Ovis aries: one gene and its partners. Each later gene encodes a partner of the first gene's protein in a complex. Links are inferred from orthologs where the notes say so. Each region holds a gene or a part of one and is shown in the gene's direction. Other genes may lie near its edges.

Region 1 (4,244 bases):
ACTGCTCATAGCTGCACAGATTATCTCTTTTTTAAAGAAAGAGTGGGATCCAAAGATGTGGTTTCAGAACTGGAAGGTACAGAGAATTCTGCAGGTCTCTTTAGTTATTACCTCTGGCAGCTCTGAGCAGACTGTGGACAGACAGTGAGTAAGGGGAGGACTGGCTCCAAGTGTCCCCCCAACAGTGATCTTCCTTCAAATACACATGCAGGATACACACCACTACCAAGGGCACCAGCCTTGAGAGATGCTCTTGATGGAAATCCCAGAGCCCCAGCACTGACACTAGGCACCACTTGAGAGTTCAAAGAACTGAGGGAAGATGGCCACACTAAAAAAAGGTTGGGATGAAAAATACGGAGACTAGCCAAGCTGGAATGAAAGTGTGGCTGGGTAAGAGGTAGGGGATGAAGACGGCATGGGGGTGGAGTGGAAGGATCACATTCTTGTGCTTGAAGTGCAAGGATAACAGCGACTAGATAGAGAAAGAGGCTGGGACCAAAGGGTATTGTACCGCTATACAGGCGCAGGCCTAGGAGTGGAGGTTCCAGGGCTGCCCCATGGCGGCATCTTGGTACCAGGCGCACTTACAGTCTAAAAAAACCCCTATGCTTTGGTTTCACGAAACGACCCTGTGGCAGATGCTGAAGCAGTCGGGGTGACCATGGTGATTATTTCTCTCGGATTCCCGGTTCTTGCTCACTCCCAGGCCTCTAAGGCTAACAAAGCTCTTCTGGAATTCTTGGTTATTCTGTGACCTTCCAAGAAGCCTCTCCCCAAATTCCTTTCTCTACAAATTCTGGGACGCACAGGAGAAGCACCCTGCAGACTCGCAATCATTTACCTGGCCACCCTCAGTGACACAGCTATCGCTTCCCCTCTCGGGGGCTGGGCTATTCTGCACCTTCCGGTGATTGCTTGGGGTCGGGGGCATCCAAGAGGCGACGCGCCCACGGGAAGGGTGTGCGAGCAGCGGGTGTCCTGGGGCGGGCTTCTGGGCTCTGCAGCGCGGGAGGAGGCGGCGGCGACGCCGGCTGGCAGGCAGATGATGCTTGGGACCCGCAGCCGTTGGGAGGCAGCGTGAGCCCGAGAGAACCCGAAGCCGCCTCGGTGGCAGCAGCGCCGGAGCGCAGCCTCCTCCCGTTCCCATAATGCACAGGGAGGCGGCGGCGGCAGCATCACTGGCCGCCTGGGTGGCTGTGGCGGCGACCCGGAGGACCCCGGGCGCGCCGCGCGCGCGCCACTGCTCGCGGCGAGCCCGGGCGTGATGGCGAGCCCCCCGCAGGCCGCCAGCTGCTGAGGCGCCCCGCCCCGCCCCACCCCGCCCCGCCCCGCGCGGCCCGCCCCGCGCGGCCCTGCCCTCCTCCCCGCCAGCGGCTGCCGGGGCGCTTCCTAGTCGGCGCGGGCGGCCGCCCAGGAGAGGTGCGGCCTCCGCACAGCGGGGGGCGTCGGCGCCGCGGGTCGCGCCATGGCCGCGTCCGAGCTCTACACAAAGGTAAGGCGCCCCGCGAGCCGCGCAGTGGGGAGGGGGCCCCGCCACCCGCCGCCGTCGGCTGTCAGGCCAGGGAGGGGCCGGGGCGGGGGGCCCCGTGCGGCCCCGCCTGCACCATCCCCTTTCCGAGCCTTTCAAAATCCCGGTCCCTGCCCGTGGGTCAGCTGCAGGGGCGCCTTCCTCTTTCGGGCGTTGATGGTTAAGGCGGCGGGGGCAGCCTGCCTCGGGGTGCCTCTCTGGTCCCTGCCACGCTTCTGGGCCTGGAGCAGCGCGGGTCTCTAAGTGGAAAGAGGGCCCCTGTGGATTTAGTAGGGCGGGCCTGGGTCAGGATTGCTCAGCTCTCAGTCTTGCTTTAGGAAAAATCCTGGCTGGTGGGAGATGCTAGATCTGGTAGATGCTAGATCTGGTCGGTCTCTCCCTTAGGGACACGCGCTTAAAATAACGTCTTGTGTTGGTATGCGGTGCCACTTGAACCGCCAGCCAACCTTTCTGTGAGATTTGGAATCCTGCAAACGGTCGCGTCGATTTTCACCTTTAGTTGCCCGGTTTCAGATTGCTTACCCTGGGGTGGAGAGCCCCTGGGAAGATACGAATAAATGCAAGCTGATTTCACTGGGATGGTGGATACTCATTTGTCGCTGGGAATTTGCAATCTGCGTGTAATCCCTCAGAGCCTTGTTAGGCTCCATGTCTTCACCAGCCGCTGGGGCGAGCCTTCTCCTTCTGGGTTTAGTTCAAGGGAAGTGGCAGCTTTTCCTTTCTTATACTGACGCCAATATTCTCTGGTGCTGCTGATCTCTGAATGGCATATTTTGGAGAACTTACCCGTCAAGACAGTGTGTGGTGCCCTTTGTGACTGTGTGTAGTCATGGCATTTTATACTACCACTCCTGTGTAGATCAGTGTTTTGCCAGCTATTAATTACCTCTAATGCCAGTTAACAGAATTGCCTTAACTACTCAAGTTTGCATTTGTGTCTTGCATTTCAAGTCTACATTTATGGTCCCAGAATCATCGCTTCCAAATATGACCCAAGAAAGTCCAAGTTGCAGCATGTTATAGAAGGAAGAGGTCTGGACACCACCACACACACCCCCCCCCCCGCCCCCCCACCAGAGACCTTGATTCTTCTAGTCTGGGCCTTTTCACTTACTGTGTGACCTCGGGCAAATCACTTAATCTCTCTGTACTTTAGTTTACACATCTGTAAATGGAGTTAATTTTACCTGCCCTGCCTCTCACAAGGCTGTTGTGAGTATCAAACTTAATAATAGATGGGATTGCTTTTGTAACCTGTGAATTTCTTTACAAGTATAAGGTATATTTCTTCAAGCATGAAATGAGTTTGCAAGAAACATTTCTTGGGATCTCTTTGTTTCCAGCTGCAGATTTGAAAACTACACAATTGAAACTTCTCTCTAAACCTGGTCATTCTTAAGGCATTGTGGATTCTAACATATGATTGAATGCGATTGGAAATTGATCTGTATTTACTTCATTAAGCAACACTTACATAGAGCTAACTATGTTCCAGGTACTGTTTTAAGTGCTTTATACATATTAGCTCATTTCTTAGAGGTAAGTGCTAAGAAATATCAGTCATTTTCACAAGAAGGGATAGGGTCTATAAATATTCTTCAATTACTTTGTATAGACCCCATTCTTCACTGCCTGAGCAGTCCATCCTTCAGCTGCCTGCCTATTTGTAGCCTGCTTAACAAGACTGGTTGGATAATACGTTTCTCTTGGATTTTGGATCTGTATTCCCACCCCCAGCCCCCATACACACACCCCCAAATGATTGGCAAGAAAACAAATTTTTAAGATCCTGGGATTTTTAAAATTGTAAGTTTTGGGGCTTTCATAGTAGCCTCATCACAATCTGTTTTAAAATTCACCCTCTAGTCATTGTAAAGACAAACTGGTTTAGGCATCAATAAGGAAGTTGAGCTTAATTGTCTTCTCCTAAATACATTTGTATCTAAGAATAATCTGGTCACTTGGCTTGTTGGCTTATTCTTTTTGTGAGTGGACCTTAGCTTAATGGCAGGCAGAACTATTTATTGAGCTCCTCCTGAATGCCAGGTACCCTGCGGAATGTTCAGGAGTTCTCACATGAACAAGACACAGTCCTTTTCCTCAAAGGACTCACAGCCTGCTTCTTTTATTTTTGGCCCAATTTGAATCTCCAAGGGCATAAATAACCTGCTGTTGCCTCAGCAGCAGGCAGACAGCTGGTATGATATTTATTTGTAGAAGTTAGGGAACAGGTTGGGACATAAGAAGGTTGGAATGATTCTAGAGATAGAGGCTTGGGTAGTGATTATTAGAGGAAGAGGGAAATCATTAGAAGTAATATCAGTGGATAAACACAAGAATTTTTCCCTTGCAGAGAATTATAGGGAAGGAAGTTCTGGGGTAGTCTACAAAGAAAGACGTAATAGTGGCATGCCATAATTAGGATATTCAACATAAAGCAGTTAAATTTGTAAAGTGCCCTTTAAAAAATGTCATTCAGAGCTTAAAGGCAGATTTAGATGTGTGATACAAATCAGCTCCTATTACAGTGAAAGACACAAGATCATTCAGTTTATTCTTTTTAGCTACATTGATAATAGTTTTGTCACAGCAATTTAGCAGGGCTTCCTCTTTGTAAATTTTTCAAGCTGTATAAACATTTTCAAGGCAATAGCCTGGTTCCTAGGATACAACATTTCTGGAAACTAACATTTTGATTAAAACATGTTTGCTG
Region 2 (3,618 bases), on another chromosome or scaffold:
TGTTTTCCCTTAGTTTTTAACTTATTTTTGGTGATAAAGGCAGGAAAGAGAGCCTCTGGGGGTCTGGACGGGCGACAGAAGAGGATGGGGGAGGGGTGGGGCAGGGTGGGCGGTGCTGGATGGAGACCCTTGGAGAGTCAGGGGGTCTCTGAGAGCCACACTGGCAGTTCTGCCAGCTGCTCCCTGGGGAGCACATGCATCTTCTTACGAAAATAACACTGTACTTGTGCTGTTTATTTACTGGGCTCCCGAAACACTCTCTAGTGTCTGAAATATTCCCTGCAAATACATTCGAAGGGTAGAAACCATTATGAAGGAAGGATTTGGAACTCAGCTCTGCTCTAGAATCTAGAGGTGAAGGAGCTCTTGGGGGCCCCTTCCCTACCTCCTCCCCGTGCTGGGCGCCCCTCCTTCACCAAGGGGGGAGAGGCGGGAGGGCCCCCTTAGCCTGAGAAACCCCGCCTGCCCCCCGAGGCTGCAGCCCGGGCCTGTGACCTCAGCACCTCTGAGCAGCCAGGTGCCCGTCGGAGGCCCAGCGGGTATTTGCCCCTGCTCTTCTAAGAGGGGCTGGGGGTGCAGGTCCTGTGATGGGGGTGGGCTCTGGGCGGCCCTCAGAGCCTCCTCAGGGTCTGCTCGAGTTCGTGTCTAGCACAGAAGGCAGATGGGCCCGTGGAAGCACCCTCTCCCACAACCCCCTGCTGCCTGGGGTCGGGAAGGCTGCCCCCCCCCCCAATCAGGCTGACCCTCCCTCCCCTCTCCCTGGAATCTCTTCCTGCTCAGAAAAAGCGCCTCCTCCCCATCCACGGCTGGGACTTTGAGGCCGACTCCGACGACTCCGATCCGTCCTGTGGTCACCCGCCAAGCCTGTCCTCGGTCTCAGGGGCCACGGACGGCCTGCAGGTCAGTGGACTCTCTTTTCACCCCTGAGTTAACCTGGGGGACAGGTTTTTGGGCCCCAGGAAAGGACAGCATTCTGGGCGACAGTCTGATGGCCCTGTGGGCATAGCAGCAGAGGGGGGAGGCAACTGGAGTCGGGGTACAGAAGCCTCACACCCTCCTGTCCTGGAGAGCCTGGGTGTGCTGCTTTGAGAAGAGGGGTGCAGGGCCGATGAGTCGGGGGCCTGGGTTGTCTAATGAAGGCAGACTCCCCGTGACGCAGGAGCGCAGGGTAGAGGAGTCAGACGGTCCCCGAGTCCCACACCCCTGGTCTGATCCGCAGGGCTCCTGCACCTTATTGCCCAAGCTAGGACGGTCTTGTGGTGGAAGGGGCTGTTGGTAATCGCACCAGGACACAGGGCCCCCACAGGGCTGCCGGGGAGAGCCTGGCTGTGTGGTCCCTCAGCTCCTTGGCTCTGTGCCCTTGGTCTGGGCGACCTGTGTGAGGCTCCTCGCCTCCCACCTCACGTGGAAAAGGGGTGATCTCTGCCTCATGGGATCCCTTCCATGAGGGACTGGAGACAGGCTGGCGCACTCCAGCCCCAGAGTGACGGCGCCCCAGCTGGAGCCCTGACGTCTCAGCGCCCTGGCGCGGGTGGTGCCAGCCCAGGACAGGGTCCACCCGGGGCGATCTACAGACCCCTGGGTGCAGGGCCCAACAGGGCAGAGAGCTGGGAGCCGGCACCCATCAGGTCTTTGGTCCACGGTCCTGCTCTGGTGGCAAGTCCAGAGCCCTTTGAAATGAAAGGGAGTTGAATTGCTGGGGTGGAGGGGAGGGGTGACTTGTGTTTGGTCGGTCAAATGATGCCTAAAAACTCTCAGTCCTTGGACAGGAAAGACCCACATTCCAAGGAGCTGCCTGTTCCTAGTGAAACCTGCCAACCGTTCCCATGTGCTCAGGCCCTCACAGATGACCCCTGCGCAGAGGAGACCACCCCCCAGGAGGCTGGGATCCTGGACCAGGCTGATGCCAGGGCCCCCGGGTGCCACCCCCGTCCAGAAGAGCAGAGGGTCGGCCTCTCGCCTGCCGGACTAGACGAGCTCTCGGAGCTCTGCCTGCCGGGAGAGTCCTGCACTGCAGGCCCCGGGGTCGCCGCCACTCCCAGTAAGTGCGCTTGACCGTGGTCTTCCACACAGGCTCGGTGTAGAGGAGGGGTCTCTGGAACCTGGCCCCCCTCCCAATCCCGATCCGTGCCGGGACACTGGCCGATTGCCAGGAGCCCCTTCCTTCCTGGGATTGTCCAGCATGCGCGGTCCTGGCAGATGCCATTGTCACCGGAGCTCCCCGGGGTGGGATGCCTCCCCGTAACCCTCAGAGGTACCAGCTCAACCCCCTGGCTGGCCACACAGCTCACTGCCGCCTATGACAGGGGACGTCGAGTGGGAGTGGGATAGAGACACACAGGTGTCCCTGAAATGACTAGGGTCACCGGCCACCTGGACCAACCTTCCTGACCGAAAGACCAGGCAGTTCCAAACCTGGGACCGAAATAGGGTGCAGGTCCGTCTGGGCCACCTGCCTGCCAGCTGTGACTCGGGAGGTCTGCTAGTGCTGAGGCCCTGGGTTCGCTCAGTTTGATTTTGTTGTCAGTGGCTTTGAGATGAAATCTCGAATCGCTCTCTGTCTCTGTGCCCTGTGGGAGCGGGCACCAGGGTCCAGGGGGTCAGGTGTCCGAGTGATGTAGAAGCCGATGAGACCACAGACAGCACAGGCTGCCCGCCACAGTGTGCTCCCGCCTGACCTGACCGCAGTGGGGGCCAGCTCCCAGGGAAATGTAGTTAGACAGTGTCTGCCAGGAAATGGGTCTTCTTTCCATTTTCCCTTTTCATTGTATTATAGGGACTCTAATCTCATGATCCACACGCCCATTAAGATGCTGGAGGCATTTGGGGGGTGGGGAGGGGACTTTTATTGCCCCACAAACAATGGATAAGTGAATCTACATTGACTGAGTCTTTGGATGAAGACGTAGATCAGCACATTTCCTCCCGGGATCCCTCATCACCCCCAGCACGCGGATGGCGGGGGCAGCGGGAGGGGAGGGGAAGACAGACTCTGTGGAGCTGGGGCAGGTGCCTGGGGGAACCGGCAGCTCTGAGTACCAAGCCCAGCTCTGCTGGCCAACTCGCCACCCTATCTCATGGACTCTAAGACTGTCACCTCGCCTCTTAAATCGGGAGCATCTTACAGCAAGTATGGGAGACTGATCGGTAGTGCTGCCTCAATAAATGTATCAGACAAGTCACAGGGTCTGAGCTTTAAAGGAGTACAGTGTGTGCCTGATCAAGCCTCTTAACCACCAGGCCTCGGTGCCCTCATTGTAAACCAGGGCCAGTGCCTAACTCACCACAGTGTTGGGGACTTTAAATGGGATTGTTGTATCTGTTAGCTACTGCCGAGTAACAACTTATCACAAACGGACTGGCTTAAAGCTACATGCGTTGACAAGCCCACAGAGGCCAGGTGTCCGGCACGGCTTCCCCAGGTCCTCAGCACAGGTCTCCTGGGCTGCAACCACAGGGTCGGCAGGGCCAGAGCCTCATCCGAGCTCAGAGCCCCGCCCCCAGGCCGTGCAGGGTGTCGGCAGAGCCCCGCAGTGGGTCAGGCACAAGAGCAGCTTGTGGACGCTGACTCCCGGGACATGGGCTCCTGTGTGTCCTCCCACACAAGCTCACCCCTTC
Region 3 (3,618 bases), on another chromosome or scaffold:
AGTGGGGACTATGTCTGAAACTCATGCCCCACTAGGGAGATGTCCATTCTGGTTTTCCTGAGACGCCCTTCAGAGCATTGTCTTCTTGGAGCCACTGCTCTTGCTATAGCAGCCTCTTCAGGTCCACTGCCGAGTGGATCCTCCCTGGAAGACAAGTTCCTCTTTTTCTTGAGGACCCTCCTGTTTCCTGACTTTTCAGGGTGACTGTGTGGTTCCTTTTTGGGGAAAGATTTCTTCCTCTGGGGAGGAACTCCACAGCCAGCTGTCTCTTCAAGGTCACCACTAACTGGCTCCTCCTTGGAAAGCATTTCTTTTCCTTGAGTTTGAGAAGGAGACAGATGGGTCTTCCATTCCATTCTCCCGAAGAGCCTCTTGGGCTTGTTTTTTCTTCTTTGGGGTCTTTTGCTTGTCTCCTCGCACTCCTGTGTGGCACTAAGGATCCTAATGATTTTCAGTTGCCTGGCTGTTGCTGAGGTCAGTTCCTTGGCCAGGCAATAAAAGCTCTTTCTTTAAGTGTAAACAGCTCTAGACTTCAAGCAGTTGACCCAGGAGAAGTCAGGACTGGAGGAGGCAGTGAGAAGTGGGCTACTGGCAGTGTGTGACTGGGCTGGCATTGAGAGCAGAAACAGCCTGCTCAGGGGCAGTAGAGCTGCTCCAGAAAGGACAGGAGACCCACCTTCATGCCCTTTGTCCACAGAGACGCAGGTCACACCCAGCTCTATTTTTAGAACCACACACCTTGTGCTTCTCAGAGACTTGGCTGAGTTTTCTAGAGCATCCCAGGGCAGTTTGGCAAGTGGCTTGGGAGGGAAGCTGGGGTGACCGGTTCTGTTTGACCTGGGGGATGGGGTGGCAGAGGCTGTGTGCTAAAGGCAGGTGCTCCTCCAGCATGGAGGGCCAGTGAGAGCAGAGCCCCCGCTGCTGCTAAGATCCAGGGCAATGAACTTAGCAGCCTCTTCACAAATTCTCAGCAGAAAACAGCTTCCTGAGCATTCCCAACATCCTTCCTGGGCCCTCACCTTGCTGGTGGCGTTTTTCCCAGTTTGTGAAATACATCTCTATGACATTGGGGTCTGCTGAGTGACTTGCCCTCTTGCCCATCCGTCCACCCATCCAACTATCCACTTACTGATTCATTTATTCACTCAACCAATGCTTAAGACCTAGCATGTGTCACACAATACTGGGAGCCAGATTTAAAACAGCCCCAAAGCTGAAAACATGGTTCTGACCTCATCGAGCCAACCATTCAGAAAACAATCAAAGGAGCAGATGACTGTAGGCTCCAGATGGGATGACATGCACAGAAGAGGCCGTGCTGTTCCACGAGGGTGGGTGTGCCCTGTGAGCGGCAGTCTGGAGCCCTTCCCAGATGCGGGAGGGCCTCACGCCTGCATTGTGGAGGATGGGGCCCCCGTGGAGGAGTGTGGGTCAGTGTGAGGAGGCCATGGGTTCTGCTGCAGCCAGGGGTTGCTGCAAGGGTCATGCTTCCCCCGGCCCTTGCACGGGAGGAGCGGCCACCAATAGCCAGCAGGACATGAGTGTTTCCATGTGGTTCTAAGGCTGATGGCTTGGTTCCCTCGGATACCTTTCTGTGCCCCAAAGCCTTGTCCAAAATGCCCACGTGGTGCAGAAGCGTCCCCAGGGGGCAGACCAGCAGGGCGCACAGCCCCACTAATCCCGTTCTCCCATTTCTCCCGGACTTAAACAGATGCTGCAGAGGCTCCGGGAGGATGAACCGCAGGCAGAGAAGCCCCTTATGGAGCTGGACAGCCTGAGGCGCACAGACTGGGTAAGACACATGCCCCCCACCCCCACCAGGGCACAGAGGGGGCACAGGCCTGGAGCCCCGCCCAGGGCTAACGGCCATTTCCTTCTTCTCGTGGGCCTAGGCCCGACTCTGGGTCCAGCTCATGCGGGAGCTTCGCCATGGGGTGAAGCTGAAGAAGGTGCAGGAGCAGGAGTTCAACCCCCTGCCCACAGAGTTCCAGCTCACCCCCTTCGAGATGCTCATGCAGGACATCCGTGCCAGGAACTACAAACTGCGCAAGGTCATGGTGAGCCACTCAAGGTCATAGTGGGCCAGGTTAAAGAGGTCACATGTTCAGGCCCCTCTGCCTGCCGGAGCCCCTGCTTGGTGCGCTGGTCACTGAACCAGGGAGTCCAGTGGGAATGGGCAATGTGGCCTCGAGTCATATACCTCATGGTCCTTTCAGGGACATAGTGTGACATTGGCAGGGAGAAGGGGACCAGGGGCGGGAGCTGAGGCTGTGGGATTGTCCCACTTAACTCTCACAGGGCCTCGTGGTGTGCCAGCGTTGCTCTGAGAATCTAAACATGTGAGTTAATCTCACTCTTACGAAGACCCTGTGAGGTAAAGCCACTGACCCGCGTTTCAACATACAAAATCTGAGATGCAGGGAAAGCTGGTGGTCAGGTCTTGAAGGCCACAGCCACACAACCACTGAGGGGGAGGCTGGGTGAACCCGTTATGGCTGCGGCCCAAGCAGATGGCCCCTTAGCCTTGCTGCCCTCCTTCTCTCCCACAGGTTGACGGGGACATCCCTCCCAGAGTGAAGAAAGATGCCCATGAACTCATCCTGGACTTCATCCGCTCCCGGCCTCCACTGAAGCAGGTACCAGCCCCGCGGGGCATCCCGAAGCTTGGTTCTGGGACGCTGCCTGCCAGAGCACGCAGGGCCTCCAGGGAGCTGGCCCCCCACCTGGTGCTGCTAAACCCCCTGCAGGTCTCAGAGAGAAGGCTTCGCCCCTTACCTCAGAAGCAGAGAACTCTGCACGAGAAGATCCTGGAGGAGATCAAGCAGGAACGCAGGCTACGCCCTGTGGAGAGCAGGCGCTGGGACGGCCGGGGCGAGCGGGGTGAGCATGGGACACCCCTCCCCTGCACCTTGTCCTCCCCCGCACTGTCCTGTCCATCCTGCCTCACCTCCTGCCTCCCCCAGGGTTCGGCTCTCTGCCCTGCATCCTCAACGCCTGCTCTGGGGACGTCAAGTCCACTTCCTGCATCAACCTGTCCGTCACGGATGTTGGGAGCAGCGCCCAGCGCCCGAGGCCCCGGGTCCTGCTCAAGGCCCCTACGTTGGCTGAGATGGAAGAGATGAACACTTCTGAGGTCAGAGCCCACAGGTTCCTGAAGAGAGACTGACATGAGGAGGAAGTGGGGCAGGGGGGGAGGGGAGGAGGGATGAGGAGGGGAGGGAAGGAAGAGGGGAGGAGAAGTAGGGGAGAGAAGGAGGTTCTAGAGAACAGAAGACAGCCAGGGTGCAGCATCCAGCTGTGGGCCCTCTGCTCGGGGTCCTGTCTGCACCCTGCTGTGAAGCTGTGTCCTGCTGTGGGGCTGGGTCTGCCCTGGGGACAAGCCTGGCGGGGCTTAGGCACCCTCTCCCACCGTGGTCACTCACAAGGGTGACTGAGACAGTGGCCTTGAGCCTCTGTTGCCTCAGCACATAAAAGGATGAAATGGAGAGCCACGTCCTCCTGGGCTGGGCAGCCACACTTGGAGGTGCAAAGCCTACAGGTCCCAGCGTGACTCCCCATCCTGGCTGCATTACCCTCTGACCCTGGCGACTGGGCTGGGGGCTGTCTCCACGTGACCCC

What was found.
Region 2: the proteins of MYO5A (region 1) and MLPH are in contact, whole or in part, in a crystal structure (PDB 4KP3), measured with the Mus musculus proteins. The link is inferred for Ovis aries from reciprocal best matches to the Homo sapiens genes MYO5A and MLPH. Residues at the interface, in NP_034994.2 of Mus musculus: Asp1524, Val1527, Arg1528, Leu1531, Thr1532, Ile1535, Asn1536, Lys1539, Ser1570, Gly1571, Leu1588, Thr1589, Asn1590, Phe1591, Asp1592, Leu1593, Ala1594, Glu1595, Tyr1596, Val1599; in NP_443748.2 of Mus musculus: Lys184, Lys186, Arg187, Leu188, Leu189, Ser190, Phe191, Arg192, Asp195, Phe196, Glu197.
Region 3: the proteins of MYO5A (region 1) and SPIRE2 are in contact, whole or in part, in a crystal structure (PDB 5JCY), measured with the Homo sapiens proteins. The link is inferred for Ovis aries from reciprocal best matches to the Homo sapiens genes MYO5A and SPIRE2. Residues at the interface, in NP_001369276.1 of Homo sapiens: Asp1551, Val1554, Arg1555, Thr1559, Ile1562, Asn1563, Lys1566, Ser1597, Gly1598, Leu1615, Thr1616, Asn1617, Phe1618, Asp1619, Leu1620, Ala1621, Glu1622, Tyr1623, Val1626, Asp1629, Leu1630, Gln1633; in NP_115827.1 of Homo sapiens: Arg404, Pro405, Arg406, Val407, Leu408, Leu409, Lys410, Ala411, Pro412, Thr413, Leu414, Met417, Glu418, Met420.

What each region holds. Positions count from the first base shown.
Region 1 is NC_056060.1:55,984,154-55,988,397, forward strand, and holds the start of MYO5A (unconventional myosin-Va), read left to right. Parts: upstream 1-1,392; 5' UTR 1,393-1,468; coding exon 1,469-1,495; intron 1,496-4,244. UniProt on the Homo sapiens protein: Processive actin-based motor that can move in large steps approximating the 36-nm pseudo-repeat of the actin filament. Can hydrolyze ATP in the presence of actin, which is essential for its function as a motor protein. Involved in melanosome transport.
Region 2 is NC_056054.1:3,661,326-3,664,943, reverse strand, and holds part of MLPH (melanophilin), read left to right. Parts: intron 1-780; coding exon 781-900; intron 901-1,758; coding exon of another isoform or gene 1,759-1,836; coding exon 1,837-2,041; intron 2,042-3,618. UniProt on the Homo sapiens protein: Rab effector protein involved in melanosome transport. Serves as link between melanosome-bound RAB27A and the motor protein MYO5A.
Region 3 is NC_056067.1:14,211,674-14,215,291, forward strand, and holds part of SPIRE2 (protein spire homolog 2), read left to right. Parts: intron 1-1,711; coding exon 1,712-1,792; intron 1,793-1,892; coding exon 1,893-2,057; intron 2,058-2,549; coding exon 2,550-2,636; intron 2,637-2,747; coding exon 2,748-2,880; intron 2,881-2,963; coding exon 2,964-3,133; intron 3,134-3,618. UniProt on the Homo sapiens protein: Acts as an actin nucleation factor, remains associated with the slow-growing pointed end of the new filament.